4 linked regions of the Rhinolophus ferrumequinum genome follow. The protein of the gene in region 1 purifies or fractionates together with the protein of each later gene. This does not show direct contact. Links are inferred from orthologs where the notes say so. Each region holds a gene or a part of one and is shown in the gene's direction. Other genes may lie near its edges.

Region 1 (7,788 bases):
ACTTCTGCCCTCTCCTTCCCAGGGCTGCTGTGGTTGGGGGCTGGTCTGAGGGGCCCGGGGACTTCCCTGGGCTGACCCCAGGCTTCTCCTCTCCAGTGAAGAAGGACGATGAGGCCTTTGAGATCTCCATCCCCTTCGACGAGTCGCCCCACCTAGACCCACAGCTCTTTTACAGTCTGAGCCCCTCTCGGGGAAACTTTGAGGGTGAGCTGGGGGTGGGGGGAGTGGGAAGGACGCGAGTCAGCTGGGGTGCAGGGCCCTTGAGGCCTGGGGTGTGACCAGGGTCCCCCACTGTCACTAGAGCCTCCGGAGGCTGCATCCCTGATGAACAGCGTCAGGGCGCAGCTGCACATGGCCCTGGAACGGAACTCATGGCTGCAGAAGCGCATCGAGGACCTGGAGGAGGAGAGGGACTTTTTGCGGTGTCAGCTGGACAAGTTCATCTCCTCTGCGCGGATGGATGCAGGTGAGGTCACCCCATGAGGCTGTCCCCTCAACCGACTCCTGGGCCCTGACACCTAGCTCTGGCTCTTTTTGGGGACACAGGACCCTTTTCACCCACACATTCTTTGGTGGCTCAATGGGGACCTGGCATCCCCATGGTGTCCTTTAACCCCGTGGTGTCTCTGGAACCCCAAGTCCAGCTTCATTCCTGCTTCTGTTGGTCGGCAGGACCCTGTGACCCATCCCTCCTGCAGAGAGGGCTTTCCTTTGCCAAATCTTTAGCCATGTTTTGGAGAATCTCGCCTCTACACTCCCTCTCTTGGTGCACAGCCCCTGACTGGCTCCCTTGCAAGCTTCCACATCCTTCTCTGTGAATTCCACTGAAAGCCAGGACGAGGAGCCTGTTTTTCTTTTTTTCCTTTCAATATTGATGTTATTGGCGACCCCTGTGCTCTGGAACCATCTCTAGCTTGGGTTGCTGGGACATAGTGTTGTCTCCCCACAATGATCGGAACCTACCCAGGATGGTCAGGCCCAGTGGCCTCTGTACTTTCTCAACACTGGACCTCCCCCAGCCCACCTTCTGGGGGTCCTGCATAGAGCTTCAGCGCTCCCTCTTCTAGGTGGAGGCAGGCACCTGCCATTCCCAGCCTACTAGACACAGAGCCTAAGATTTCTCTCAGGCTCTCAATCCTCCACCCCAGGCCTTTCCTGCCCCTAGGGTGTCCTGAGTCCACTCTTCTGGAGGTCCTCCACTGTGGGAACCCCACATAGTCATAGATTCTCCTGAGGTCCCCGGTCTGCTCTTGGTCCATTTGGTTCGTCCTCCAGACCTCTTGCCACCAAGTTTAGGAGTCCGCTGAGCATCCTCACCCAAGCCACAACCCACAATATCCACCCCCAAATCCCAGCTTACTGTCCTATATTCAGCTATCTCTTGCAGGGACCTAATTTCCTATCTACCGGTTTTCTTGGGAGGCCTCCCTTCCTGGGGACCTGTGCGATGTGACCTCCATCCCCACCTTGCAGACACACCTCTTACTTCCTCCTCCCTCCTGTTCCTGCAGTCAATGTGTGTTTGTTATGTCTCTCCCACCTCTCTCCAGAGGACCACTGCCGGGTGAAGCCTGGGCCCCGGCGGGTTGAGGGCGACAGCCGGGGTGGGGCTGGGGGCGAGGCCTCAGACCCTGAGTCGGCAGCCTCCACGATCAGCGGAGTATCTGAAGAAGGCAGTAACGTCGACAGGAAGAGGCAGAGGCAGAAGGGAGGCCCTAGCCGGAGGCGCTTTGGGAAGCCCAAAGCTCGGGAGAGGCAGCGGGGTGAGCTGGGGGCGCGGGGTGCAGTGTGAGAGCTCTGGGCTGAGACTTGCTGTGTCACCTCCCTTCCCTATTTGTAACAGACCAGACCTGCTGGTGGGTTCCAGCCTTCATGTGTGGTCCTGGTTCATACTGTACATTTTGGTCCACCCTCTCTAGACCTTCCCGAACATCAGTAACAAGGGGAAGGGCGATGGCTCAGGTGGCTGGCAACTCAAACCTCTGACCTGCTCTCCTGTTTGTATTTTCCTCCTCATCCTCTCCTCCCGGCCTTCCTTCAATTTTCCTCTCCCCTAAATCCTGTCTCCATTTCTCACATCTCTTCACCGCATTTTCCTCCCGTTTCCCGTTTTGTTCTCCTGCTCTTCCTGTATTGGGCTCCTTGGCCACATCGTCCCTGTCTGTCCCTTTGCTCTGTGTGAGCCCCTCACCGCATCTCTCTTGTCCTCACATCTGCCCTCCCATTTCTGTCCCACTTCCTCCACATTTGAATTCCCCCTGTGGATCTGTCATCTCATGTCTATCTCCACCCCCTCCAACCTCCTCTATCTCCATTTCTTCATCACGTCTGTATCTTCCCATGTCTGTCTCTCTCTACCGTATCTCTATCACCCCTCCTTGGCCCTGCAGTGAAGGACGCAGACGGTGTCCTCTGCCGCTACAAGAAGATCCTGGGCACCTTCCAGAAGCTGAAGAGCATGTCACGGGCCTTTGAGCACCACCGTGTGGACCGCAACACGGTGGCGCTGACCACGCCTATCGCAGAGTTGCTCATTGTTGCCCCTGAGAAGCTGGCGGAGGTGGGTGAGTTCGACCCCTCCAAGGAGCGTTTGCTGGAGTACTCGCGCCGCTGCTTCCTGGCCTTGGATGACGAGACCCTCAAGAAGGTGCAGGCCCTCAAGAAGAGCAAGCTGCTGCTTCCCATCACCTACCGTTTCAAGCGGTGATCCCGCCCACCTGGCCCGGGACCTGCCCTCCGACTCCCACTTCCCTTCCCCTCCACCTTACCTGGAACGTGGGCGAGTGTGTGCATGAGTGGTGTGCCCTCGCTAGGGCCTGGGGGTGGATGGTGTGTTCCCGCGTGTGCCTCTCTCCTCTCCCTCCTGCAGACCCCCACTCCCACTCCTGGTCCCTTCTATACAGACCTGTCCTCCTTGCCTCCCACATTCCCAGCATCATCCCCTCCCTCTGCATTCCCAGCGTTGGGGGTCCTCACTTAGCCAGGCTCCCAAGAGCTACTCACTGCCCAGGAGCTGGGTTCTGCCCTTTCCTAAACACTGGCACCCTTCCTGCCCTCACTGGGTCCTTCCTCCTGGGGAAACTGCCGGATTCTACGGGGCGGGGGCCCTGTACATACCCGTTCTCCGCCCCCAGCCCCGAGGACCCTAATTCCGGACCCCCCAGTCAACGTGAAGCAGATTATTATTCAGAGAATTTAAATTAAAAAGACGATAAAATTTGGAATAAACTAGGTCCCGGCCTCTTTCTGGGAGGGGGTGGCCGTTGCCCTGGAGACAGTGACAGAAGCCCTGGGGCTTCCAGGAAGCAGGCGGTCGGGAGGAAAACCGGGGAGGTTGGGGAGACAGGGTGTAATTAGCACCCCCGTAGGCATTGGTGGGAGGGGGAGTAGCAGCTGTGTTCCGGGAACACGGAGGGGCAGAGCTCTGGAAAAGAGGAGTGAACACTACCCATTGGGCTGTTTGGACTAGAGGCGCGGCGGCAGGAGGCAGTACTCAATGACCTCCAGCACAGGCGGCCACCGTGGCGTGGGAGGGTGGGAGGAGCTCCTCTGGGAGGAGGCTTCCGACCGCCCGCTAGGAGGCGGTAGTGGGACATTCAGTCTCCTGGAAGCGTCCTCGACTTTGCCGGCGGCCGCACTTACGCGGTTGCTACAGCAACCAGGACCAGGCGGCCCAGCTTAACAGTCGGGAATTCAGCTTCTTCCCTGGAAGAAGGGAAAGTCTCGCGCACGCGTGCTGGAGGCTCTGGAACCCGTTCCTCGCGGAGTGAGAAACCGCGCCTCAGACCAACGTCTACGCAGGTGCAGAAGGCCATCTCGCGCCCCTCCTCTTCCATCCTGCGCAGGCGCACAAAGCCGCGCTACCAACCTCCGCAGCGGCTGCGCGCACCGTTCACCCCGCTGGCTGCTTTTGTCTCGCGCAACCTTCTTAGGCCATCCACGAGATCGGCCCTTCTTTTTCTCCACTCTCCCCACCCGGAGAGCCAGGAGTCCGGAGCCGGGACCCCGCCCCTTCCCCGTATCCCTTCCCTTGACCCACCTCGTCTTCGTCCTCCCTCCCTTTTCTGTTCCCCAAGCCGGAAGGAGCCGAAGAACAGACGGAAAAGGCCGAAGCTGTCTCGGTGAGTGGGGCCTTTCCGAAGCGGTGGCGGAAGGAGCCGAAGCTGTGCCAGTGGGGAGGAGTGAGCCAACGGAATCTCCGGAAAGAGCCGAAACTTGGAATCTAGCATAATCTCTGCGGGGCCTGAGGGCGAGCGCTGGAAACCTTCGGGAAGTGCCGAAGACTAGGACGATTAAGCTTGTCAGAAGTAGTGGGTTGCTCAGATAGGGCCGGCGGATAAGAGCGGGGAGCCCCTGCGGAAGCAGTGAAAGACTGGGACGTTTTGAATTGTCGGAAGAAGCCGAACCTTTGGCGGGCAGAGGGTGGTTGGGTGCAGAGGAAGGCGAGAACCTACGGAAACACCCGAACGTTGAAGAGACAATTTCCGAAGAGTTTACAACCTGGGAACTCCGCGAAACCTTCGCTTCGGGTGTTTTCGGAAGCTGCCGAAGACACCGCACCCGACTCCTGCCTCTACAGTCCGGAAATAGCCGACGCGCTTCGGAAACAAGCTCTGGGGGAGGGGCGCTTTGCGGGCGGGCGGGCGGGCCGGCCGGGAGAGGGGTGGAGCCGGGGCTGGGCGGGCGGCCTGGGCTTGATTAGGCAGGAGGAGGCGGCGGCGCGCTGGGGGCGCCCGGAAGTAGCCGAAGCGAGCGGCGGAAGTAGCCGAAGCGGCTGGAGCGGGCGGGCGGCAAGGCGAGGCGAGAGCTGTACAGGGCCTACACGGCCGCTTCAGCATGTCGGACTTCGACGAGTTCGAGCGGCAGCTCAACGAAAATAAGCAAGGTGAGGGCGCCGGGGGCGTGGGGCGGCGGGCGGGGCGGCTCTTGGCTTCCCTCCGTGTCCCCCGCCATTTTCCTCGTCGCTTCCCCGTCCTCTCAGGGCCGCGCGGCACCCCCCCCTCCGTCCCGCGGCGCGCACTCGCTCACGTGACCGCCCGGCGTGCCTCCGCGCGCGGGAGGGGGTGGCGAGCGCGGGCCCACACGCATGCGCGTCACGTTCCGTTCCGCGCCCCACGTGGTTCCCGGCGCAGGTGGCGCGGATGGGAGGGCCCCGGGTGTCCCCTTGCGGACTCCTGTTATTGCTAATCTGAGGAAGAGAGTGTATATATCGGGTCCCGCGATTCCCCCCTTTACTCCCGCTTCCTTGGCACTTCCGGTTCCGGCCGGGCCTGTGGCCTGGGTCTCCACGCCCCCTTTGTTCCAAAATGGCGGTTGTGAGCGCCCCCCTCCCCCCCACCGTTCACGTGGGCTCGGGCAAGGCGGCGGCTTGGGCCGGCCATTCTCCGACGGCTGCTCTTTGCGCGGTGTCCTGCGGACTCGCTCGTCAGGGTTCCCGCCCTGGCTGCTGGTCGTGGGGGGCCTCGGGTCACCGCGTGTGACGCGGGTTCCCTCGTGAAAGGGGCACCCTGTGTTTTATTTTCCACCCTGTGCATTCTTGAAGTATTTCTCCCGCACGTACGTTTTGCGTACACGCGGGCTTTGGCAGTGGCGACGATCACAATGTGGAATGTTTGTTCCCAGTATCCCCAGCTAGAGACAAACACCACGTCTTCTATCCCAAACTCGGGGCATCTAGACTGAAGCTCATAAATCATCTCAACGTAGAGATGGGGAAACGGAGGCTCTTGAGAGTAAGGGGACCTGGGCCAGTTGAGTACCGTAGGAAAGGGTGGGCGGCAAGTACTTGTAGGTGATGCCCAGTCAAAGCACGGGACCACGCGGGTGCCGGTCAGTTGAGGGACTCCAAGAATATTGGAACTGGGAGAGTCGTTAGACGTTTAAAAACTCCTTGACCTTCCTGTTTTGCTTTGAGAGTGAAGAAACTTAGGCTGAGGGAAGGTGGAGGGACTTGAGGCTTAAGATGCCCGTGTTTGGCTGGCCGAATGAGAGGGGCAGGACTTTCCCTTGAACCCAGCCTAGAGTTGAGTAACGGGTAGCTGCGTTAGGAGACAGTGCCTGGGGAAGAAGTCCCGGTTTTTGAGTGCCCTCCGCATGTCTGTCTTCACTCGTACTGCTTAACAGCACAAGCTTGGAAGTTGGTCGTACCTGAGTTGAAAGCTACTTTGTTGCTTAGGTGTGCTACTTTAATTCCTTTGTGCCTGTTTGTTGTCGTCTGTTGATTAATATGGTTTTCACGATTTTTGAAATAAGGATGATAACAGTTAAACTCTGAGCGCCTGTCACGTGCTAGGCACCTTGCTAAGCTCTTTGCATGGTTTTTCTAAGTGGAGCCTTGTAACAGCCCAGTGAGGCTGAAATGATTTTCTTGTTTTTGCAGAGGAGGAAACAGATTCAAAAAGTCTGAAAATTTTCCCAGGTCTGGTCAGAGGCAGACCTGAAATTAAATGGGAAATCGTGAAGTGTGTGGTATGTGGCTTGGCATACATTAAGTGCCCAACAAGCAGTGTTTTATATTGTGAAATCATCCTTAGTGTGATAAACTCACAGAGAGGAAGTAGAGGCAGGTCATCAGCTCCCTCAGAGGTGATGTCAGAGTTGGGGAAGGTGCATTCCAAACCTCAAATCCTCATACACCTGGGGGGAGGAGGTAGAGGGACCCTAGTTTAAAGAAGAAAAAACCAAGTTTTAAAGGTTTAGTTGTTCTTGCGTGGTTTTATATAGTTGGTAAGTGGAAAAGCTGCAACTGACCCTGAGTTCTGGCTGGGTGCATGGCTGGACCGCCAGGTGGAGATGGTTGAGCCCTTCCTTGAGGCCCTTGCAGATGTGCTTGCTGCCTGAGTGCTTGGCCCTCCTGGTACTGGGCGGCCATGCCCTCAGCCCTCACAAGTCCCCTGGGTTGGTAGCTGTTCCCAAAAGGTGGCAACAGTATTTTGAACAATCAGAGCTTCCTTTCTGTTCCTATCTGTCCGGGATCAGTGTGTGTGGGGGGAGAGGAGGACTCCTGCCTTAGGGGGAAGCGCTGCCCACGTGTTGTCCCGCCTGTAGGTCTTTGTCTCTGAGCCAGCCTCCTCCCTACTTTAGCCCCTGCCTAGTGCACCTGTGTCTCCAGGGAATTAATTTCCTGGTCTGCATCCCAGCACCCAGCAGGCATCACTGCTTCCTCTGTGTCGGTTCTTTTCTGCCTGCTTGTCTGTTTCGGAGCCTTAGCAGCAGGAAGGGCTCTTGGGGCTTGTAGCTCGCCCACCTTGTAAACATGGAGCCAGAGGCCCAGAGCCTCCTGTGTGCTTACCCGTGGCTCTCTGAGTGTCCGCTCATGTTTCCAGTCTTTGATTTACTTATGTTTTTGCCTTCAAGGAGATAATCCCATTGTCACTAGTGGTTCCAGCCAGACCCCGGAGTGTTCTGCCTGAGTTCAGGAGTGTGCCTGGTGCTTTACCGAACTTGCTGACGTGACAAAGCTCACGTTCAGGCTCACTACTTCCTTGCTTTTTAGCCTTTGCGCCAGTCATGTGACTGTCCAGTGCCACAGTTTCCCTGTCTGTTACATGAGCCCCCAGCAGGGTATTCCCAAAGCATTAGTAGAGATTAAGTGCAAGTAAAACATTTAACATAGGTTCTAGTTTTAGAAAGCATGCCATTCTTTGCTGCTGTGTCTCTTACCTACTTAGGTGCATGTTTTTTTTGAGTTTCAGGGATTCTGGAATTGAGGTACATTTACAAAAAGTTCCTGTTAAATCATATCAGAAAAATATAAGACAGCAGTGTGGATGAGACTAAAGTCCATTC
Region 2 (7,112 bases), on another chromosome or scaffold:
AGAGTAGGAGTATGGTGGCCTAGAATGTGAGAGCCTGATAAGGGAAGGGTTTGGTGGTGTGGACGTAATCAGCTGTTCAAGAGGAACTGACAGCTTCTAGCCAGGGCCTCAAAAATGGATCAAGATAGCATATACTTACCCACACAATCTATATGATAGGAAAAAAATCTTTAAAGAAATTTATGTAAATGGGCCACACATTTTGTTACTTCTCTGATCCCAAAACTTCAATATTCCCCACTGACCGTATATTGCTTTTTAAAGAGTTGAAAAGCACCTCGGAGAACAGGTTTATCTGTAATTTTTGGTCTGAAAACAATGGAAGGAAATAGTCAATATTTCAAAATATCAGTATATTTTAATCTGTATAATATCTGTAACTTTCTGTGTTTTATTTATAATTTTTAATGAAGTTACTGCAAGAGAGGCAGAAGAGAAGCTGCAAGCTGCCTTGTACCCAGCACCTTTCTTACCCCCTTCCACCTTTAGAATTGACATATAACAGCACATCTTGATCCAAGTGAAGTTTTCTGACTCTGCTGAGGCCCCACAGAAGTGAAGGCATCTAACTGTACATATTCTGGGCTGGGAAAACTCATTATCAGGCTAAAAGGTGACAAGTCAGTATGGAGAGAGCTAGACCTCACTTCACTAATGTCCAAGCTAGGGCTTGTTGCAGGCCGGGCCTGCTGCAGAAATGCTTAAAGTTAAGGGCAACCACCCAACACTGCTTAGTCTCTACCTGGAGTCTTTTGCTAGGCAAAGAAACCAATTCAAGCAAGTAACCATCAAGCAAGGGGGTACCATAACTCCTTTCACTAACACAAAGTGCTGTTTGAAAGAACTGTAAATACAAAGGTCAGCCTCCCCTGGTGGGAACTCACATGTTGTTGTTTTTTTATTAGTTTCAGGTGTACAAGACAATGTAATAGTTAGACACTTACACCCCTCACAGTGATAACCCCCTCCCCCAATCTACTACCCCTCTGACATTGTATATAGCTGTTACAATTCCATTGACTATTCCCTATGCTGTACTCCACATCCTGTGACTATATACATATTATAGTTGACATTCAGCCTCAGCTTCAGGTGTACACTGCAGTGGTCAGGCATCTACACTGTCCATGAAGTGGTCTCCCTAATAAGACAAATGCCCATCTGACACCCTACAAAATATTTACAACATTATTGATTATATTCCCCACAGAACTCCTTGAATAAGTATTAGCACTGCTTCATAGGTTCATTTTCTATATTGATCAAGAAAATTAACCAGACAAGGCTGTGACTGCTGAACTTGACTGCATCCCACCTGGGCTATCTTATTCTCATCTCTACCTACCAGATAGAGCACCTGGCCTCAAGGAAAAACATTACATTTGGACAGGACCTATGCTGTGTCTGGACAGTTCAATTTGCTTTCTCACTTCATTCTTTCCTTCTCTCAGATGGGAAAGGGAGGCAGAAGAGGGGCCTGAAAAACCTCCTCTCCCTGAGCTCAGAAATGAAGCAGTTGGGCGGCCAGTTGGATCAGCTGGTCAGAGTGCCATGCTCATGACACCCAGGTCGCCGGTTCAATTCCCACATGGGCCAGTGAGTTGTGCCCTCCACAACTAGATTGAAAACGACTCGACATGGAGCTAATGGATCCTGGAAAAACACATTGTTTCCCAATAAAATAAAAACAAACTAAAAAAAGAAAAAAAATAGTGCAGCAGTTGAGTGCAGACTCCGGAACCAGAACGTCTCAGCTTCATGCCCAGACTGTCACCTACAAGCTGAGCAATCTTAGGAAAGTTACCTTAATGACTCTGTACCTCAGTTTCCTTCCACTTAGTGTGATGATTGTAATAACATCTACCACTGTTTAAATGAGATTAAGTATTCAGAATAGTGTAAAGCACATTGAAGGTGAAATACATGTTAGCTATTGCTATCACTGCTGTGTGGCAGATACTGTGATTTTTGTCTAAAAGCCTTTGCTGAGCTACGGTGATCCTGCCTACCCACTGGTACTCTCCTGGAGAAGGAGGTCAAACTTAATGCGTAAAGTGTTCTTTCAAGGGTTATCAACTGGAAAATTTTAATAGACTCTAGACAATACAAACCTCTGTATCATCTGTTATGGACTAATGGTTTCCAGAGAGGAGCTTATTTTAAAACTTAAAATATTGAAAGTTATTAAATTTGTGATAATCTATTTACATAAACAAAAGGCAGGTAAGTCTGTAAGGACACAGCTTGGGGTGATCTTCATTTGTGGTGAATTCAATTGTTTTTAAACCATGTACCTTAAGGGTACATCTCCGTGCAGTTACTCTCAAGAATCAAAAAAAATCTGAGATTTCAGAGCTTAGATGAGACACTTCTGTAGATACAGAGATGAAAAGAAAGGGTGGAGGACCCCTGGCCCCACAGCTGAAGTGGTCCCCAGTTGGTGAGATAAGCCAGACATTTGTGAAGAAGTCCTGGGATCTGTAACACCAGTGAACGATTCCTGCACTTGCTGTGGAAGTGGGCTTATATGTGACTACTCATATCATAGTGCACATCTGGGATGACTTCCTAGGACTAGACACAGGCTCAAAATCAGTCCAAGGCCCTCGCCTTTCATTCAGAAGACTAGAAAGATTATTGCATCATTGATGAATGATAGAGAACTCTCAGACTTGAAAGGATCAAAGAGCCACTAGGCTCAAAGGCTCTCTTAATGGACTACATGAATATATCTTCCGGGACATGGTTTCATAGTCCCTAAACTTAGAAGCAGTACTATTTTTTGGTTTAATTTTAATATTTGCCTCAGATTGACTACTTCCATTTTCTCTCCAGAAACAGACTTTTCTACAGCATGAACTGTGATGGAGTCATTGTGGGGTTTCTTAAAAATACCTACCTGATTTTAGTAGGACCCGTTTTCTGTAATTTTGCCTTTGATTAATTTTCACCTCTCTGACAGCTCCCGCTTTTACTCTTCCCACTTTTGTCTTTCTTGGAAAAAACATTTTTTGAGAAACAGTGCTCCTTCCTCTACTATCTTCCAGTCATAATCTTACACTATTTCAAGCACTCCCTTAATTTAACTGGTGATTTTAAAATAATATTCTGCTTAACTTGTAATGAGTGCTTGATTATTTTTTTCTTCTTTTTTCTTTTCTTTTCCTTTTTTTAAAATTTTATTGGGGAAGGGGAACAGGACTTTATTGGCGAACAGTGTGTACTTCCAGGACTTTTTTTTTTTTTTCCCAAGTTGTTGTCCTTTCAATCGTAGTCGTAGAGGGTGCCGTTCAGCTTCAAGTTGTTGTCCTTTCAGTCTTAGTTGTAGAGGGCAGAGACCACCATCCCTTGCAGGACTGGAGGAGTTGAACCCGCAACCTTGTGGTTGAGAGCCCACTGGCCCATGTGGGAATCAAACCCGGCAGCCTTAGGAGTTAGGAGCACGGAGCTCCAACAGCCTGACTTTGGACACCAGGCCGGCTCCTATTTTTTTCTTCTTTATGAAGACTTTCCAAAAACAAAATGATAATAATTATTGACTCTAGAACACATCAAGAAAATCTGCTCCACTGTCTCAGGCTGTAGCCATCCATTTTCAGGCAGCGGGTAGTTTCAGATACTAACTGAAAACCGTGCATTCCCCCTGAGTCTTGAGTCACCTTCAGAGTCTGTGGGACTTCTTAGCCCAAGTGATAGTCACATGAGCAACCTCAGTCAACCTAATTCCTCCCTGAAGCCTGCCCTTGGAACCTCCTTTATCCGTCTCTGCGGTTCAGCTTCCTCTTTCTTCCTCAGCAGGAAACGACTCTCATTTACTTCTCTCATGCTGGTCTTTAACCCATGCATCTTTGGGCTCACTGTTTGGGGGCCTCCCCCAGTCAGTAACTTAAAGAGCAATAGGTAAACGCACTGGTCAGCTGAGCCAGGATTGCCGGAGACCAGCCGCTACCCTCGATGCACTCTCCCCTCCGTAGGCTCCAGCCCCGCCCCCATCCGGCTGACCAATCCCCGGCTCTGCACAGAGCGCGTCACAATGGCGGCCTTGCAGCACCGCCCCCGGACGCCTGCCGCGAAGGCCACGCCCCGCCACGGTCTTTGCGTCCTTCCGGTTCTGTGGTGGAAGTAGGACTGCGTCTCGTCCTCCTGGAAAAGGTGGGGTTCCGTGGGGAAACCGACCCTCGGTCGCGCGGGCAGCCAGAAGCGAGGTTGGGGCGCGGGCTTCCGGGGCTGCTGCTCCCGGGCGCTGGGGCGCAGAGCCGAGCGGGGACGGGCACACCGAGAGCAGCAGCGCTTCCCTAAACGCCGCGTGCGCATGGCGGGCGGGAGTTGTGGGCACCAGCCCGCCGCGCGCCTGACCTCCTCCCCCAGGCCCCGCCCAGGGCGCGCTGCCAGGGGTATCCATGGTGATGGTAAACAAGCCTCAACTGTTTCAGTTACAACTGCCAAGTCTCCCGCGTTCTACCCTCCTCTAGGTGCTCAGCGACGACCAAGGTGCCGGGTGTGAAGAAGAGCGGGAGCGTGGAGACTCGGAGCCCGAGGTGAGGGGCGGGACGGGCGGAATCTCCGAGGCCAATAGCCGCACACCTGGGACTGATCGGGGACTGGGCCCCCTCGAGGTAGGGGCGGCAGGGCTGAGAATTGGGTTTGTCCCAGATGAGCTTGAGGTCCAGGGCCTTACATTCGGGGACTAAATCTCAGGGCTGAGATTTGGGGTCCGAAGACGACGGGCCCGCGGCGAGGAAGGGAAAGAGGGCCTCGTGCGGAGCCCAAGCGCCTCTGCCAGGAATAAGGGGAGAGCACCGGGTGACCGTCGGAGAGGGAATTCGTTTAAAAATGAAAGCAGTCCCTCCACGTGGCTGGAAGCGCCGGGGAGTTGCGCAGGACTGGTTGGGAACTGACTCCTCCCCCTCCCACGTTCCCGCTCGCCCGGCCTCCACTCTCGGCCTTTGCGGCCTTTCTTCCTTTTGGTGCGGCGTGTGTGCTCTGAGCGCTTGTCTGCGTCTGTCTCCTGCCGTGAGAGGTATTGTGTCTGCATTTTGGCTGAAACTCGGGTTCTTATTATCTTTGCCTGTTGATCACACTTCTGCCGAACGAGGTTGATTAGTTAGCCGTTTCTTTTTTTCTTGTCTTTTACTTATTTGTATCATTGAATATATTTGGTGGTTCTTGACTGCGCCTAAGAAAGTTATCGACGCTGTAGGCTCTTGCACTGCGCCCTCTGCTTCCCCTGTCTTGTGTGGTTCACTGAAGGTGGCGCCGGCGGCCTGGGTGACGCCGCGCCAGTCGCGTGGACCCTACCTACCCTGGTCTTTAATAGAAACGGTTGGAAAGCCACAAGCCGGGGAGAGCCCCCTTTCCAGGGCACTTAGGAGACTGCCTTCCTGTGTCCCGTTGATCCCGCGGGGTCCCTTCGCGGCAGTTTCTTTACCCTGGAGGCCCGAGGACGAAAGAACGTGGTTAAGTATTTTTCACATCTGTTTGCGGGGTGCCGGGGGCTCCCTGCCATTGCAGGCTGGGATGGGGGGGTGACGAGAGAGGAACCCGCGAGCGGCTGCGCGCTGAAGGGGGACCGTGAGGCAGCGGCAGCTTCCGGGAACCGCGCGGGTCGGCGGAGGGTAGAGGAAGGAGATCCGAGGCGCCTGAGCTTAGGGGCGGCCCTTGCGCGTCCCAAACCTGGTGGAGCAGGGAGAGTTTTGAATGCTGAAATTATCTTTTAATTCACAACGCCATCGATACTACCGATCTTAATGTAATTTTCACTATTTCAGTCACGTTTTTAAAAGTTTACTATCTTTCTGAATTTCTTTCTAGTAATGAAAATACCTTGGGCTCTCTGGTTAGACAAAACATACTAGGATCTATCGGTGAAAAGTGATGTTTTCAGTGCTAATTTCTAGACGAGATTGTTTTGTTAACTGATGTTAAACGAGTCCATTCTTTGTCTTGGGGATCTCATGTTCCTGTCTGCATTTCTGTAAATTGAGTAGGTTTGTTATTTCCATGTTGTGGTCTTTTTGTTTTTAGTTTTTTTTATTTTAGTAACATTCTTTTTGTAGTATTTGCTTTTATTACCTTTTTAAACTGCCAAGTGACTGGTTTTCACTTGAGTATTGTTACAAAGCTCCCATTAAACAAAATATTCAAGTAAAAATGTAAATCGATTTAAGGGCAAAGAGTGATTCAACAGGACAGTTAGTCCTTGTATAGAAGGGCCAAAACTGAAGGAGCGTGTGGAGGCACACGGTGCCCATCAGGAGAGGTGTCTGGAGAGACGGCAGAAATGGGAGGGTTTCCCTCTTTCACGGAGGTAACTTCCCAGAAACTTCCCCTCCGAAGTGTGAGCTCTAGCTCTCAGGTTCTTTGTAGAACCACATTAATTGACCCTTACTGGGTTCGGCACAGAGTTAGGTGTTTTACAACATTTTCTTAATCACATGCTCATAACCAGGCTATAAGGGGGTATTGCTTTTATCCCCCATTTTACAGATGAGAAAATGGAGGCTGGGAGACAAGAAGACACTTGACCAGTGACACAGCTGGGACTAGGACTCAGGTCTTTTTGACAGGAGCAGTCCTCTCCTGCCAGGGCCCCTGCCCCAACCTGGTTGCCCCGAAACAGGGTTCTTGTGCGAGACAAAAGGCAGGGCAGAAGGAGAACCAGGCTCAGCTATGACCAGCCTGGTTTGTTTTACAGCACGTTCCAGACATAAGATTTTTATCCATAAATATTTCAGCTTATATTTCTAAGGACCTTTAAAATATAATCACAATATCATCACACCTAAAGAAATAATAATTCTTTGATATCAACAAATACCCAGTGTTTAAATATACCTGATTGTTTAATAAGTATTTTTATACAGCTGGTTGGTTTGAATTGGGATCCAAATAAGATCACACCTTAATATTTGGTAGATTATATCTCTTTAAGTTATGTTTTAATCCAGAGCAGTCCTGTCCAATAGAAATAAAATAGAAGCCACATAGTTAATTTTACATTTTCTAATAGTAAAAAAAAAAGCAATTCACTTTAATAATTTACTTTAACCTAATGTAGATCCAAAATATCATTCATCGTGTAAATTTTTTAATTATCTTTTTTTTAAAATGAT
Region 3 (7,178 bases), on another chromosome or scaffold:
AAGTGAGATTGATAGCATGTGTGAACTATTTATGGATTATGGATTTTCCCCAATCATCAGGCCTTTGTCTACATGTTGTCATACCATAGGTGAAATGTGTTAGACAACCTTTGGGATGTCTGCTTAGCTCAAAGCAACCTTCTTTCATGGACAATTCTCCACCCTTTCCTAACTCACAGAGTAGAATTCTTAAGCCATGTTCTTAGTCTGTGACCCCTATCCCCTTCGACAAACTTCACTGGACTAGGAGTAGATTCCTATAAAAACTGAACTGATCAGTTGCTTACTCCTTAGATTTTTGCAATTGCAACCAAGACAGATGGCCATTTTCTTCAATGGTGGAGATCTGAACTCTGAAGTTGATGTTGCCATTGTCGCATAGCCACGTGCAAGGAAAGGCGAGTTCCTCTATACAGAGAAGTAGATGTACAGAGAAGCTTAGAAGGCCAGAAGCAGATATAGAGATAACCTTAGGACATTATTTACTTCTTTTCTAACCTCTCGACTACTCTTCTTAAATATTTTGATTTTATTATCGTTTATACCGTTTAGTGATGTCATTGTGGGAAGGGGTCCAGAGCCAAAGAATGTGAGAAAGACAAGAAAATGGACTCTCCTTTAGAGTCTCCAGAAAGAACGCAGCCCTGCGAACTCCTTGATGTTAGTCCAGTGAGATACATTTTGGACTTCTGACCTCCACAACTATAATAAATTTGTGTGGTTTCAAGCCACTAAATTCATTACAGCAGCAATAGGAAACTAATGCAGGTGGGCTAGAAGGAAGTTCTGCTGCAACAGTTAACATACCATTGTCGAATTCCTCCCAAGGCACTTTGGACTTTCAATTCTATGTAGGTTTGAATAATAGAATTTCAGAACTGAGAGGGACCTTCATGGACGACTTGAGGGAAAGGACTACTCTTAGGTTACTTGGCTAGTCAGTAGTAAAGCCAGGACAAGAACTCAAGTCTCCAATCTTTCATCTGCGTACATTAATAATGATAAGATGTCTAACGAAGACGTTGGTGCATGGAAGGTAGTCAATAAGTGGTGGAGTGTTTTGTTGTTATTATTATGCATTTTTGGTCATCTATAATGATATTTCATTTTTAAAACATCGTCAAGTAAGGAGGTACCCTGTGCTAAAGAACGAAAAATTCAGCTGAGTAAGTTTAGAGACCTACTTGGCTTTACTGAATGACTTATGAATTCCTCAGCATCCCATCTAGAAAAAAGAAAGGTGCTCCAGGAGCTGTATAAAATGGATGGCTTTTATATGTAGAAATGAGTGGGGGAGAAAACATTAAGAGTGAACTATTAAGGGCACCTCTTCTTAGCAGAAGGCAGGGGGTCTTATCAGATAGATTACCAAACTAGTGGTAACCAGGAAATTCCAGACTGATTGGTTTAAAATTTCACTCCTGAGAGAGGCTGAAACTGCAATGAAGTTAGGTATTATTAAGGCATGGTAGGGCTTACTACAAGTGACTCCATTTGGGGTCTGTTGTTTCTTTTTAACACCTGAAACAATATTTTAAAATTATCAAAAAGGTAACCAGGGAGCGAGTGAGGAATCACCTGGTCAAGAAGCAGAAGAGGATTGGGTCTATGCATTCAGAGTGCTTTTGCCCTGGGAGACATTTTTAGATTATTCAAACGATATGGTTGAGAGGTGGAGCTGCACTTTTGACATCTAGGGGAACAAAGTATAGAGTCTAGGACCTGCCAAGAGTGGTGACTCTGGTAAATCAGGTTTTGGGCTGGTCCTCAAAAGGACAGCACCTGGGAGGTAAAGGCAAGCCAAACTAAATTAGTTTCCTCAAGGTTCCCAATCATCTGGATGTGTTGGTGCCCCAAGGTACCTGCCAGAAGAAAATGAAAATCCTTTATTTAAAAAAAAACACAAAACCATCAGAAGTCTCACATTGTATCTTCAAGGGTTTCAATTAAAATGTCAAGCACACAAATATAGTCAGGTAAAAAGACAACACGAGTGAGAACCAGCATGAACACTATACAACAAATAACTAGAACAAAGAACCAACAACAGACCCAATGAGACTCCAGATACTGGAATTATCAGTGACCCAGATCGTATACCAATGATACCTGCTACATTCAAAGAGATAAAAGCCAAGATTGACAATTTTGGCAAAGAATTAGATGCTAACACCATAGGAGAGAAAATTAATAATATAGAAAATAGAAAAAAAAAATCTATTCAAAATGAAGCATACGGAGATAAAAGGATAAAAAAATAAAAAAGAGAAGGTAAGAGAAATAGTAAATAGTAAACAGAAAAGATATAACATTTAATTGGAGGCATAGAGGAAAGAAGAGAGATTGGGGCAGAAGCAATATCTGAAAAAGTAATGACTGAGAATTTTTCAGAACTCATGAAAGGCATCAATCAATGTATTCAGGAGGCCCAGTAAATCCCAAGCATTATAAATAAAGAGACATACACTTCCAAACATATATAATGAAAGAGCAGAACACCAAAGCCTGAGAGAAAAAAAATCTCAAAAAGCAGCCAGAGGGGATAAAACCCCCCTGATAACCTTCCAAGAAACAGCTACACTGACAGCTGACTTTTCACAGGTAACAACAGAAGTCGGAATCTGGAAATCAGTTTTAAGTACACTGAAAGAACATAAACTGCTTCTATCATCACATCTTCTCTGACTCTCTTGTTTTCTTTCACTTATAAGGATAATTGTGATTACTTTGGGCCCACCAGGAAAACAAGGATAATCTCATCTCAAGATCCTTAATCATATCCCAAAGTCCCTTTTGCAATGTAAGGTAACATATTCACAGGTTCTGGGGATTGGGATGTGGCCATCGATGATGGGCCATTATTGTGCCCACCACATTATCTCAAAACTGTCCCCATCTTTTATCATGAGTGGCTGTTCTACGAAGCCCCATGGAAAAAAGGAAATTAGTACAGTATTTCCAAGAAGCAAAAGAAGACAGGGCATTTTGCATACTACCTCATTTAAAACCACCATCAACCTTCAACCTTGACTAAACAAATATTATTACCCCTATTTTAAGGATTCTAAGGTTGAACATGAGAGAAATTAGGTAACTTGACGGAGGTTCACCCAGCTTGCAAAGAGTCTGACTAGAAATTTGTATCCAGATCACCAGATTGACGTCTATGACTCCACGCTTTTTCCTCCATACCAAGTACAGATATTGCTTGGTTCATCATTGTATGAATGATTTCTGGCCAGTTCATATCTTGGGAAACAGACTCTAATTTGGTGGGTTTTTAAATGAATGAAAAAGAAATTAAAATGGGGGGGGGGTCAGGTTTCAAACTGGAACGATATCTTTGAAGTATGGGTGGCAAGAGTTTTTTCTTTACTGAAAATGGTTAAATCACTTTGATTTTATTAAGGCCTTTTTTCCCTCTTCTGTAAAATGGGATGTTTAGACCTAGTAACACCTTGGTTCCCTTCTCACTGGGATATTTTGTGATTGTAAGAGAGAAACCTCTTGCCTCAAGGAGCCTGCCCCTTGTTGGGTGGGCTCTAAGCTGACTGCATTTAAATTAGAGGTATCTGAATTATTCCAAAGAAAACGAACGTCAGATCTAAGAAGGAAAAAATGAAGAACAATGAATTGGGGAAGAGGAGATGAAAGAAGATGACCTAAGACAGAGCCGGAAACATAAACAGCACGCAAATAACATAAGTCGCATGCAAATAACTCAAGCTAACCATCAACGGGTTTTCTGGCATTTACGAGGCAAATGAAACTCTGCTGGTCTCTGAGTAGGGATGCAGGGGTAAAGACCTTGTTCTCGCTCTCAAGGCGCTCGTAGAATGCGAATTTACACTTCGTATTTAATCGTGGACATGTAACTCCCACCTTTCTAGAAGCCCGAGCTGTGAGAAACAGTGGGAAGAGAAAATATTACCACACGCTTGCGTGTGCCTGGGGCAACGTGGAAACAGTCTCTGGAAACTGGGACGTCCCCCCGCCGCCCCCCCCCCGCCGCCCCCCCCCCCCGCGGCCCCGCTCTCGCCTGCAGGCCTAACCCAGACACACAAAAGAAACTGCCTCTACCCTCAGGGACGCAGTTTTTCTTCTGGGCCCGCCGCCTGGCGAGGTTGCACGGGAGACCGCTGCCCCAGGCAGCCCCCCTCCGCCCCCGCCTCAATCCCCCAGGCCTCGGAAGTGACGCAGCGCGCCCCGCCCCCGCCGCCAGATCCGCTGCTGCTGCCGCGGCGGGCGGACCTGCAGGAGGCGGCGGCGGCGGCAGCGGCCGAGGCCGAGGAAAAATGGCGGACGGTGTGGACCACATAGACATTTACGCGGATGTGGGTGAAGAGTTCAACCAGGTACGTGAGGGCCCCAGGCCTACGCCGCCGAAGCGGGCAGGGTTGCGGCCCGGACGCTGAGCCGGGCCAGTCGTGGGCTGCGAGCCGGCGCGGCTGCAGCCCGTGCGCCCTTGCCGCCCGTGGGCCGTGCCGCCCGGCTCCGGCGCGGCGTCCCTCTCGCCCCTCGTTCTACCGCGACGTTTCGCAGACCGAGGGCGGTGCGGCCAGCCGCGGGGGCCCAGAGCGCGGACGCGGGCCGCTGTGCAGCCGCCGTCGGCCCCTCCCTCGCCGCTACCTCGCCTCCCATTGTTAGCGGCGGCGGGCGGGCGGGCGCTTCCCGCCGCACTAGGCCCGGGCAGTGGGGCCGCGTGTGTGTGGCGGGGGTTCAGCACGGGTCGCTACCGCGCCCCCTCCCTTGCCGCCAGGTCGAGGAGCGAGCCCGGCGGGGCGCGCGCCGGCCCCCGCCTCTTCCCCGGCCTTGCCTGCCGCTCGGGCTCCGATTCCTGTCGTCGCTCCATTTTGTCTCCGTGTCCGCGCACGGTCGCCTCATGGAAGGCCGCATTCACCGCCCTTTGTATCCCGCGCGCCGGGTTTCCTGGGCCCTCCTGCTCGCGTTTGCGACAGGTTTCGGCGTGCCGCCTTTCTCCTCCTCTCCTCACACTTTCAGACGGCGGCTTGGATGTGGGCGCGTTTGCAACAAGTCCTTTGACTTTTGGACCCATGTAGATCCTTTAAAAGTCGGTGCGCTGGGTCCTGCCTCGATGGTAGAGGGCTGGCAGTGCCTTTGAGGCCCAGTCGTTCTTGGCCTTTCTGATGAAAATACCTGTGAAGATAGGTGGTCTGGGCAAAAGGAAGACTTAGAAGCGCGATGGTTGGATGGAACAGGAAAGATGGTAGCTCACCAAGAGATCAGTGGAGTGGTTAAAATAAAGAATGCCCACCTGAAATGCTTACGCTATAGTTTAAAAATAAAGGGATGTAGATGTGACCCGATTTTCAAAAGCAAAATGTTAGATACCCTCCAAGGGATCTGCTTTACATTTTGAAAGGGTGCAGAAAGTGAGAATGCAATGTTTTTCCGGTATCTCACAGGCCACCGTTGGCCTAGAACTAAGCCGCGGAGCTGTGATGTCTGATGTTGGGCATCCTTGCAAAAGATCTCGTACTAGAGCAGTGACGTTTAAGCTCTAAACCTGCTGTTCACATCTTTACTGTCTTTTATGTAGTAACACATTTTTAAAAATCAAATTGTGCCTAACTGCAGTGCACCTGAAAGCTTTATTTTTTGTATTTTCCAGGTCCGTATAAGAAACTTAATCAAATTCTACTGATTAATCTGTTTGTTTCTTCCTTTCCGTTAAGGATCTTATTTGTGACTAGGGGCTCAGGATGTGTTTTTTTTTTTTTAATTGCGCAAGCTAGTAATCCTTACCGCTCTTTTTTTCGGGAATGACTTTGTGCCCCTGGTTTAAATATTAGAAACAAATTTTCAGTTAGCTTAAATGTTTCCTACTCTGTTAGAGACTGAATATGTTTAAATGTAACCCAGTGTAATCAAAGGTTAAGCTTTAAAATTTTTGTTTTTATTGTGCTTATATTTTGAATATATGATGCCTTAATGGTGTCAGTGACAAATTAGAAAATTCTGGAGTGCTACAGTCAGATTCTAATGCTTTTAAGTCGGACATAGACTTTCAGGAATTTTTATTTATCAAATGAGTATAACATTTCATGCAAAAGAGGGCCATACCTCCATACCAAGTAAAGGAACAATTAAGTGTTCAAATCTCTTTTCATTAGATTTACTTGCAGGAATATACATTTGCTTTGCCTTTCTACCCACAATAAAGGAAAAATTGGTGTGCAATTTTAGAAGTTGAGCTTTCTTTAGGACCTCTCCATGAAATATATTTTAGGCTTTCATAAACTAAATTGGGGGTGGGCTTTTCTCTATTCCATATTGCTGTATGAAATGATACATGCTTATCTCTGTGCTGTAACTAGTGCTTATCTCTATGACTGAGCAGGAGGTAAGATGAGATTAGAATTTTGTGGCCCTAGTGAGGAATTTACTTCATATGGTTCTTTTTAAAATGTAACTTTGAAAAAAAAATTTATTTTCAATAAAAAAAATAAAATAACTTTTTGTTGACTTGTACCAATAGCATTATATCTCACACATAGTTGTATAATTTTACCAGTAAAATATTTGTACTTTTGGATAGATTAATGGGGGGATTAAATGGAAGCTTTGTTTTGTTATTTTGCATGTCATTGGCCTTTGTACTCTATTGCTTGCTGTAGCAATTCCTGTACAAAATATGGCCAAAACAAGGTTCATCCTGTTTTTTCAAATGTTACTATTATTCAAATAGTTTTCTGAATTTTCATCAGAATTAGAGGCAACTACAAAATTATTACTGATTAATTTGCACTCTATTAGCTGATGACCTTATTTGTATGTGTATAGTAAACATTCACTTTATTGTAGTTGAGTAAAATGTTTTACTAAGTATAACCAGTCTTGATTTACTTTAGCTTCTAAACTGCTGTAAACATTTAAAAAATTTTTTTGTTCTTTAATGTGAACTGCAGTTTTCATTGAATTTGTATACGTACTTTGAAATTCTCTGTAGAGTATGTATTTCCCATTTCTTCTATTTTAAATGGTCGTACTTTCATGAAGGTGTTTTTTGAGTGTGTATTTTGGGAAAGTACAGTATAAAGTGTAATGGAGACAGCTGGATAGCTCAGTTGGTTAGAGTGCCATGCTCTTAACAAGGTTGCCGGTTCGATCCCCACATGGGCCACTGTGAGCTGTGCCCTCCACAACTAGATTGAAAC
Region 4 (7,355 bases), on another chromosome or scaffold:
TTTCCGACACGGTGACGAGTGGGATCGGGAGTTCGAGCAGGGGATGGAAGTCTCTGGCGGGAAAGGGGAACTAAGTGACTATATCTGGGCTGTAGAGTGGGTAAACTGGGTCTTTGAATTTGGGGTCGAAGCCTCTCCAGCCTCTGGGCATTTCGGGCAATGTAGTTCTCGAGTCCCGTGATGCCTCGTAGGCATTGTTCTAAGGAAGGGGCGCCCGAGAGCCCCTAGTCTTTTGAGAAACTTTTCGCGCGCTAAAAAGGCACAAAGGGAAAAGGTGTTTGACGTGCAGTTAGAGGCACCCAATGGTGGGGAAATGCACCTGCACCTTCTGAGAGCAATTTCACACCCGGACTCTGGAGATGGCTCCCAAAATGTTCATTTAATTTTATGCAAGGAAAGGAACAAACTCCCAGACCTGAGCTCTACCAAAAAAAAAAAAAAAAAAAAAAAAAGGCGGCATGGCGAGGAGGAGCGACCAAGGATTTGAAAGGAGGTGATCCCTTGCTGGCTTTGTGATTCCAGGCACGTTGCTTCATGTCTCTGAGCCTCATTCGTTTCCGCATTACTATAAAGTACTATAAGGTCCTAAAAATACCATTTCACAGTAGGTGTGGAGATTCACTGAAGTAACAGAATGAAGATTTTAAAAAAAACATCCAAGCTGCTGTCCAAATGTTGTGATCACATTGGCTGCCATTGGAAAGCTCCCCTCCGATGTTAAAGCAGTTCCTGAAACTCAACACTCTAAAATGGAACTCTTTTTCCCTCCTCTACCTGAATCAGCCTTCTAAGTCTGCCTTCTTCCCAGATCACGCACTCAGTAGCAACCAGTCAGTCATCAATCCCAGTTGTTTCTTTTCTTCAGACGTTTCACAGTACATCTCTCATCCATCTTCCTCTGTCTGGATACTCATCACTTCCTGCCTCTGCTAAGGGTCTCTCTGTCTTCCCCAGCCGTCTCTGGTAGCATCCTGGAAATAGTTGGAACTTTACATTTGCTTTTGAGATTGTTTCTGATTTGTAGGACTACCACCAATCTCAGGTCACAGACTTTCCCGTGCAAGAAATGTAGCTTTCCCCCACTATGACTAGCTAATTTCTTTTCAACTCTTTCTATATGAGTGGTGGAAACAATCTCAGACAGTTCAGGGTTCTTCCCACCCTTGATTTTTCAGGTTATACAGACCTTTTGGAAAATTAACATGGGGGTGGTGGCGGGAGGGGGTGGGGTGGGTGGGGGGATTCATCTAATCCTCAGTGTCTGTTGTTTGAGCTGCATTGTCCTGCCCAAGCCTCTGTCATGTCAGATGAATTCGAAAAGAGTCTGGAGACTTTGCTAGAAGTAAATTATAAAAATTAATTCAAGGGCTTTAGAGTTTGCAAATTGGAAACGCAGCTAGGCAAAAAACAAACAAACAAAAACAAACAAACCCAGGTGTGTCCCAAAGAAGAAAGAAAAGTTAAGAGTTCATATAGTTAAACGAACATTTTTGAGAATTATCAGTCCTGCATTCTTAGCCCTAGGATTGGTCCCAGGTGGTTATCAGTCAGGCAGTCTGGATGATGGATGCCAGGTGGTCCAGGAGATGGGCACCAGGAGGTCTGGTCTTGTCAGTAGTCTGGATACGTGAGTCCTTCAAGAGGTAACCAAAATTATCTGGAGGTCTGGTATATGTCTGGATGCATATCCAGGCATTGATGCAGGACTGGAAATTTCAAAAAGTTTAAGTTCCCCTGCTAATTAGAACAAGAATGGAGTCTTTCCTCATGCCTCAACCTTCATGTTAATAATTTTAGCAGCTTGGTTAAAATGCCTCAGTTTTATATATCCCTGATCTTCACTCTTTCCTCTGTCACTTGTCCACACAGTTTGCCACAGAATCTACCTACGAAATGCAGCTTCTTTGGAGTTATTGGCCAATGTGTTCTCTTGCTTTCCAAGCAGCCTTGGCCCTGGGAAGCAGGGCATAGAGTCCCTTTCTTGGGGATCCATCAATAACTACGCATATATACCTTTCTTCCTGTGTCTCCCTTCCTAGCCTAGGGAATTTTTATCTCCTCTGTGGGAAGGTTGAGATTGGGGGAAGTAGGGAGGAATCTGAGATCAAGTTCTTACCTGTAATATTTACTCCAAAATCAGTTGCCCTGAATCCTTTCTATCGCCTGAGGGGCTGGCTTTTGAAACACAAAAGGCTGGAAAGGACTCCCCTTTTCCTCCATCCTTCTGTCACAGCCATAAGCTCCCCAATATAGGGATACCTCTGGGTTTGCTCATAGTGGGAGCCCCAATGCCTAGTTCAGTGCCTGGACTAGCATACAGTGGGTCCTCCATTAAGATCTGTCAAAAAAATGAATTACTGGGTCTCTTGCCTTCCAGTCTGTCCCCTTCCAACCCATCCAGTAATATCTTCCAGAGGAATCTTCTGGAAGTGTGGTTATCATTCCATAGCTCAGTGGCTGTTCTTCTGCCAGCCCAATCAAGTCTAACCACCTCTAGCTCAAGACCCCACCTAAACAGATCCATTTTATTTCCTACCACAGCCAAGAACTTAAGATGCCTGGTCTGTCAGGCAATCTGTCATTCAACCAACAACAGTTATGAAGTTTCTGCTATCTGTCAGGCATTGTGTTACACTCTGAGAAACAACAGTGACCAGAGAGCACAACTATGGTTCCTGCCATCAAGGAGTTTATGGTCTAGCGGAGAACCCAGACATCAAACAGATCCTTGTGAATAATTGATTATAGTTATCCAAAGTGGCTCAGAGGAATATTACAGACTACTGTGGGCACTGAACTTCAGTGAGAGGTCAAGAAAAAGGCTCCAGAGGAAACACCACTTAAGGTGAGGTTGAAGTTTATTTTGGAGGGGATGGGAGAGGAGGAGAAGGGAGGAAGTTGAGGAAAGTGTTCCAGGTGAAAATACTGGAACCAGCCAGAGTAAGTTTGAGGACTTGAAAGACCAGTGTGGCTGGAGAGAAGATGGGGTGAGACTATGGTGGTCGGCATGAGCTAAATGGTGCAGGACTTGGGGGCAAGTTTCCTCTGCCAGAAACACTGTTCCTCATTCGGGTCTCAACAAAAATGTCACCTCCTCAGAGATGCCCTCCCTGAATACCCTGCTTAAAAGTAGCCTATTCCTCCCATCCACAGCAGCTCCTATCTACTTTACTCTGATTTGTTTTATTCTTAGCACTTACCACTCTTTGGAATTTTTTTTTTTTTTATGTGTTGATTGTCTATATGTCTATGGCTCCCCCCTTCCCCGCAATAAAGTGTAAGCTCCAAAGAAACCTTGTCTTTCTTATTCACCATTTGTATCTCCAGTTATCAGCTAGGAGTTACCCAGTCAATATTTGTTGAATGAATGCAAAGCCTGGAGAGTAGTGGGAACAGATTTTTCATTGAAAGTAGATCACTGGCTGTTCCGTGGAAAATGGAGTAGGAGGAGGCCAGGTTGAAAACAAGACCAATTAGGATGCTATTTTATTGATGCAGGGGAGAGATGACAGTAGTTTGGCTTGGCTTTCGGGATAATGATAACAAACATGAATATTTATATTTTACTTACTATGTGCCAGGCTTCGTTCAAAGCACTTTTTAAATATCAACTCCTAGCAATAACCCTATGGGTTGTTAGTTCAACACTTGTTATCACTGCCCTATTTTACAGATGAGGAAATTAAGGCAGAGAAGTTCACACCCATTACTAGCTGGGTGGAGCTGGGATTAGAGCACGCAATCTGACGTCAGAGTCCATGCTCTTGGCCACTAAGCCATAATACCCTTCACACCTGCAACTTTTATTCTTCTCTCCAAGCCTTTGCTTGTGCTGTTCCTCCTTTTAGGATTCTTCCCTTCTATCTGAATATTGCCCGTCTGTTAAAGTCTAGCTCATTCACACCTCTTCAGCAAAGAAGACTTCACCGACCATACCTGGATGTCCTGCTGGTTGGTCTGGATCCCTTATAGTCCGCACCACGTTCTGTACATGATTTCTGGGAGTACCTTATAGATATCCACAAAGAACCCTACACCATCTGAGTTGGAAGGGAGGTGGAAGTCATGTAGGAAAGGGGAGATCGCGGAGCAAATTGGTAATAGGGACAGGCCTAGAACGGTTTCTTGGTCGGTGTTAGTTTCTCAACCCGTCTGCGTTGGCGCTTTCTTCACCGGGTCTCCTAGCAGAGTCTCTAAATTCTCACTGCATTATGGGAAATGTAGTTTCAGATCTCCTCCCGCGGCCCCTCCCTTCTCCCGCACTCGGCGGCGCTTAACGGAAGGAGCCGAGCCGTTCCGGAAATAGTCGAGTGTCCCGTGGCGGGCCCTTTCCTGCCCGGCTGCATTCTGGGAAAGGGCAGTTTCCGTTAGGGGCAGGAGGCTGAGGCGCGCGAGCCGCCGCAGTCCCACGTGAAGGGCTAAGGGAACATCGCTCGACTGGGGCAGCTCCCCGCTCGCCGCGGGGCTTCCCGGAAGCAGCGGGGAACCGGAAGTGGCCCGCGGCAGGTCAGAAGCTAATCCCGGAGCCCGGTGTGTGGCGCCTCGGAGCGCAGCGACGGCGCCATGTCCCTGATCTGCTCCAGTGAGTATTGGCTGCGGCCGATCGCGGGTCACAGGAGGCCGGAGAGCCGAGCGGGAGGATCTGCGGGCTTCTCAGGCGCCGGGGCAGGGGCGGAGGTGAAAACGGGGCTCCTGGGAGACAGGGCAGCGGCCTGTCAGCTCGGAGGTGGTCCTCCTCCTTAGCGTGGGGTGCATTTGCGCAGCGCTTCACAGTTTACGTAACGCCTCAGGTTTATTGTCGCAGGCATTGCTGAGCTTAACCACCTCGTTTACGCAGTGGAAACTGAGGCCTGGACACAGGGAGCTGGTGCAGGGGAACCAGCTCTGGTGTAGGAATCAGGATACCCGAGGGCTTCTGCAGGGTCCGCCTCCGATTGGCTTTGCGATCTGGTGCAGGGCCCTGGGCCTCAGTTTCCCATCTGCAAAATGAGGGCATTGTACTGGGTTTTGTAGGGGGTCCCGCTCGGGTAGGCAGAGCTTCTGCAACTTGTGAAGGGCACAGTGAATTAGAGGTAGTGACAGGGCTGGAAGCCAGGTCTCTAGCTTTCAGCCTCGGAGGCGAACATTTGTAACGCCTTTATTGGTGTACAGCGCACTTCCAAGCCTGTGAGCTCATTTTATCCTCACGCCAATTCTCCAAAGCTGAAATAAAGGTCCGCTTTCTCAGACGAGGATGTTAGGCTCCGGGAGAGTGTGGCTTGTCGAAAGCTGCACAGCTAGTAAGTGGCCGAGCAGGGTGATGGAGCCAGGTTCTCTGACCCGGAATCCATGCCTTTTTTTCATGCTTGTATCATCTTTCCTTTTGGTATTTTATCGTGGCTTGCAGATGTTTTCCATCCTTGTTGTTTCATCATCCCTTTCTCTATTTGCTTCCTAATTCTCAAGCCCTTTACTCTCAGAGCCTCTCCATAAATCAAAAAGAAAAAAAAGGGGGATGGGGGGAGAAGGAAGGGCCCTGACAGCTAGGAAAAGGAACCCTTCACATTGAAGAAATCACAGTTTGTGGAGTGTTTTCACATTCACTGTTTCCTTTCAGTCTTGAGGAAGCTCTTTTCCATCCAGCACCATCCTTCCTCTCATTCACTCATCTGGTAGGTGTTTACCGAGTGCCTGCTGGGGATCTGCATCGTACTGGAAGCCAGAGACAGCTGCAGTCTCCTCCTGGAGGGCTGCACAGACCACTGAGGCAGGCGTGTAAATGATACCTCTGTTGGGGGTGACTGTGAGGATGAGAAATCAATGGAGAGTGTTTACAGTCGTGCATGGCAAACAATGAAATGTATCATATAGCACTTGTCACATTGCTTTATCATTTCATAGTCTGACAGTCTATCTAGGCTCTAGACTGAGATTTGAGTGGCTTAATGTGTGTCTCCAAAGCATCTTTGTTCAGAAATGAGACGGGCAGCGCTGATTGACTGCTCTCCAGGGGCCTGGCACATAGTAGTTGTGCAATAATTATTTGTTGAGTGTAGGAGAAGCTAGATAGGTAGCTGGAAAGCATGCTGGGGACAGTACAAAACTGGCTTGGTGTCATGTCTTAATTCCTGTTAGTTCAGTGTGGGAACCCGGGGTCTTGTTGGGGCCGGCAGCAGGTGAGGCATCCCCTTGGCCCAAGTTCCCTTTCACCCCCTGAGCTCACGGCCTGCCTTTTCTCCACAGTCTCCAATGAAGTGCCAGAGCACCCATGTGTGTCCCCGGTGTCTAATCATGTCTACGAGCGGCGGCTCATTGAGAAGTATATTGCAGAGAATGGCACAGACCCCATCAACAACCAGCCTCTGTCTGAGGAGCAGCTCATCGACATCAAAGGTGCCTAGGGGCTGCCTCAGTCCAGGGTCATCTTAGCTCCGAGCCTGAGACGGGGGAGGTGGTGCCAGCTCATGGGAGGAGGGGCTAGTGCCCTGGCAATGCAGACTAAAGGGAGAAGAGTGGCGGAGAGGAAAAGCAAGGGTCCCCTGGGTTTTGGTTCTTCATACCTGCTTTTCCTCTCTCGGCAGTTGCTCACCCAATCCGGCCCAAGCCTCCTTCAGCCACCAGCATCCCGGCCATTCTGAAGGCCTTACAGGATGAGTGGGTGAGTTTCTGGAAGAGAACTAATATCCTCCCCACTTGAAGAGAGTGATCACTGGACTAGGACTTGGGGGTGGGAAGGATGGAGCATTATTTTCTCTTTTGTGGGGCAGGATGCTCACAGAGTAGGAGACTGGTTGTTGAAGTCACACAGATCTGAGTTCTACACTGAGCTCCGCGTGCCCTTGGACAAATCACTCGTATTCGAGTCCTGGTTTTCCTGACTGTACAACACAGATTAGTGTCTGTCTCTCGGGGTTTTGGGAGAATTAGAATAAAATTAGATTAGAAGTTGCATGACATGAGGGACTTGTTTAATTCATTGGTATATCCCCAGCACCGACAGCAACACCTGGCACACAGTAGGTGCTCTAAAATAGGAATGAATGAATATATCTTGAGGGACTGCCTGGCGCAGTGCCTGACACAGTGAGGGCAGTCAGTAAATAGCAGCAGCGTTTTTATTCCCTTTTGGTGAGGTGATGGCATGACATCTGAGATTTGCCAGTAAATTAGTGGAGCTGGGGGTGGGGAAGAGCTGGCTCCCACTCCTGTCCGTGTGCCCAGTGTTGGGGCAGGGGCTAGGAGCTCAGGAGTCGCTCACTCTCTGGTTCTGGGCCACTCAGATGGTGCTGGGGTCACTGATACTGTTCTAGGCCGTGAGCATTGGCGGCAGTGTCCTCTTCTCGAGGGCTGACGCTTCTGCTGGGTGCACCCCCTCA

The links.
Region 2: the proteins of U2AF2 (region 1) and HNRNPF fractionate together in Homo sapiens (co-fractionation; 3 studies listed by BioGRID, with this or other methods). This does not show direct contact. The link is inferred for Rhinolophus ferrumequinum from reciprocal best matches to the Homo sapiens genes U2AF2 and HNRNPF.
Region 3: the proteins of U2AF2 (region 1) and CPSF6 fractionate together in Homo sapiens (co-fractionation; 3 studies listed by BioGRID, with this or other methods). This does not show direct contact. The link is inferred for Rhinolophus ferrumequinum from reciprocal best matches to the Homo sapiens genes U2AF2 and CPSF6.
Region 4: the proteins of U2AF2 (region 1) and PRPF19 purify together in Homo sapiens (affinity purification with western blotting; 3 studies listed by BioGRID, with this or other methods). This does not show direct contact. The link is inferred for Rhinolophus ferrumequinum from reciprocal best matches to the Homo sapiens genes U2AF2 and PRPF19.

Annotation. Positions count from the first base shown.
Region 1 is NC_046298.1:48,710,121-48,717,908, forward strand, and holds the start of U2AF2 (splicing factor U2AF 65 kDa subunit), read left to right. Parts: upstream 1-4,769; 5' UTR 4,770-4,836; coding exon 4,837-4,885; intron 4,886-7,788. Other genes in the region: CCDC106 (coiled-coil domain-containing protein 106), read left to right, coding at 97-204, 302-466, 1,551-1,763, 2,391-2,707. UniProt on the Homo sapiens protein: Plays a role in pre-mRNA splicing and 3'-end processing. By recruiting PRPF19 and the PRP19C/Prp19 complex/NTC/Nineteen complex to the RNA polymerase II C-terminal domain (CTD), and thereby pre-mRNA, may couple transcription to splicing.
Region 2 is NC_046299.1:66,653,795-66,660,906, forward strand, and holds the start of HNRNPF (heterogeneous nuclear ribonucleoprotein F), read left to right. Parts: upstream 1-4,094; 5' UTR 4,095-4,152; intron 4,153-4,472; 5' UTR 4,473-4,538; intron 4,539-4,881; exon of another isoform or gene 4,882-5,020; intron 5,021-7,112.
Region 3 is NC_046293.1:65,272,696-65,279,873, forward strand, and holds the start of CPSF6 (cleavage and polyadenylation specificity factor subunit 6), read left to right. Parts: upstream 1-4,171; 5' UTR 4,172-4,295; coding exon 4,296-4,355; intron 4,356-7,178. UniProt on the Homo sapiens protein: Component of the cleavage factor Im (CFIm) complex that functions as an activator of the pre-mRNA 3'-end cleavage and polyadenylation processing required for the maturation of pre-mRNA into functional mRNAs.
Region 4 is NC_046294.1:9,871,264-9,878,618, forward strand, and holds the start of PRPF19 (pre-mRNA-processing factor 19), read left to right. Parts: upstream 1-4,338; 5' UTR 4,339-4,563; coding exon 4,564-4,582; intron 4,583-6,222; coding exon 6,223-6,372; intron 6,373-6,560; coding exon 6,561-6,637; intron 6,638-7,355. UniProt on the Homo sapiens protein: Ubiquitin-protein ligase which is a core component of several complexes mainly involved pre-mRNA splicing and DNA repair. Required for pre-mRNA splicing as component of the spliceosome.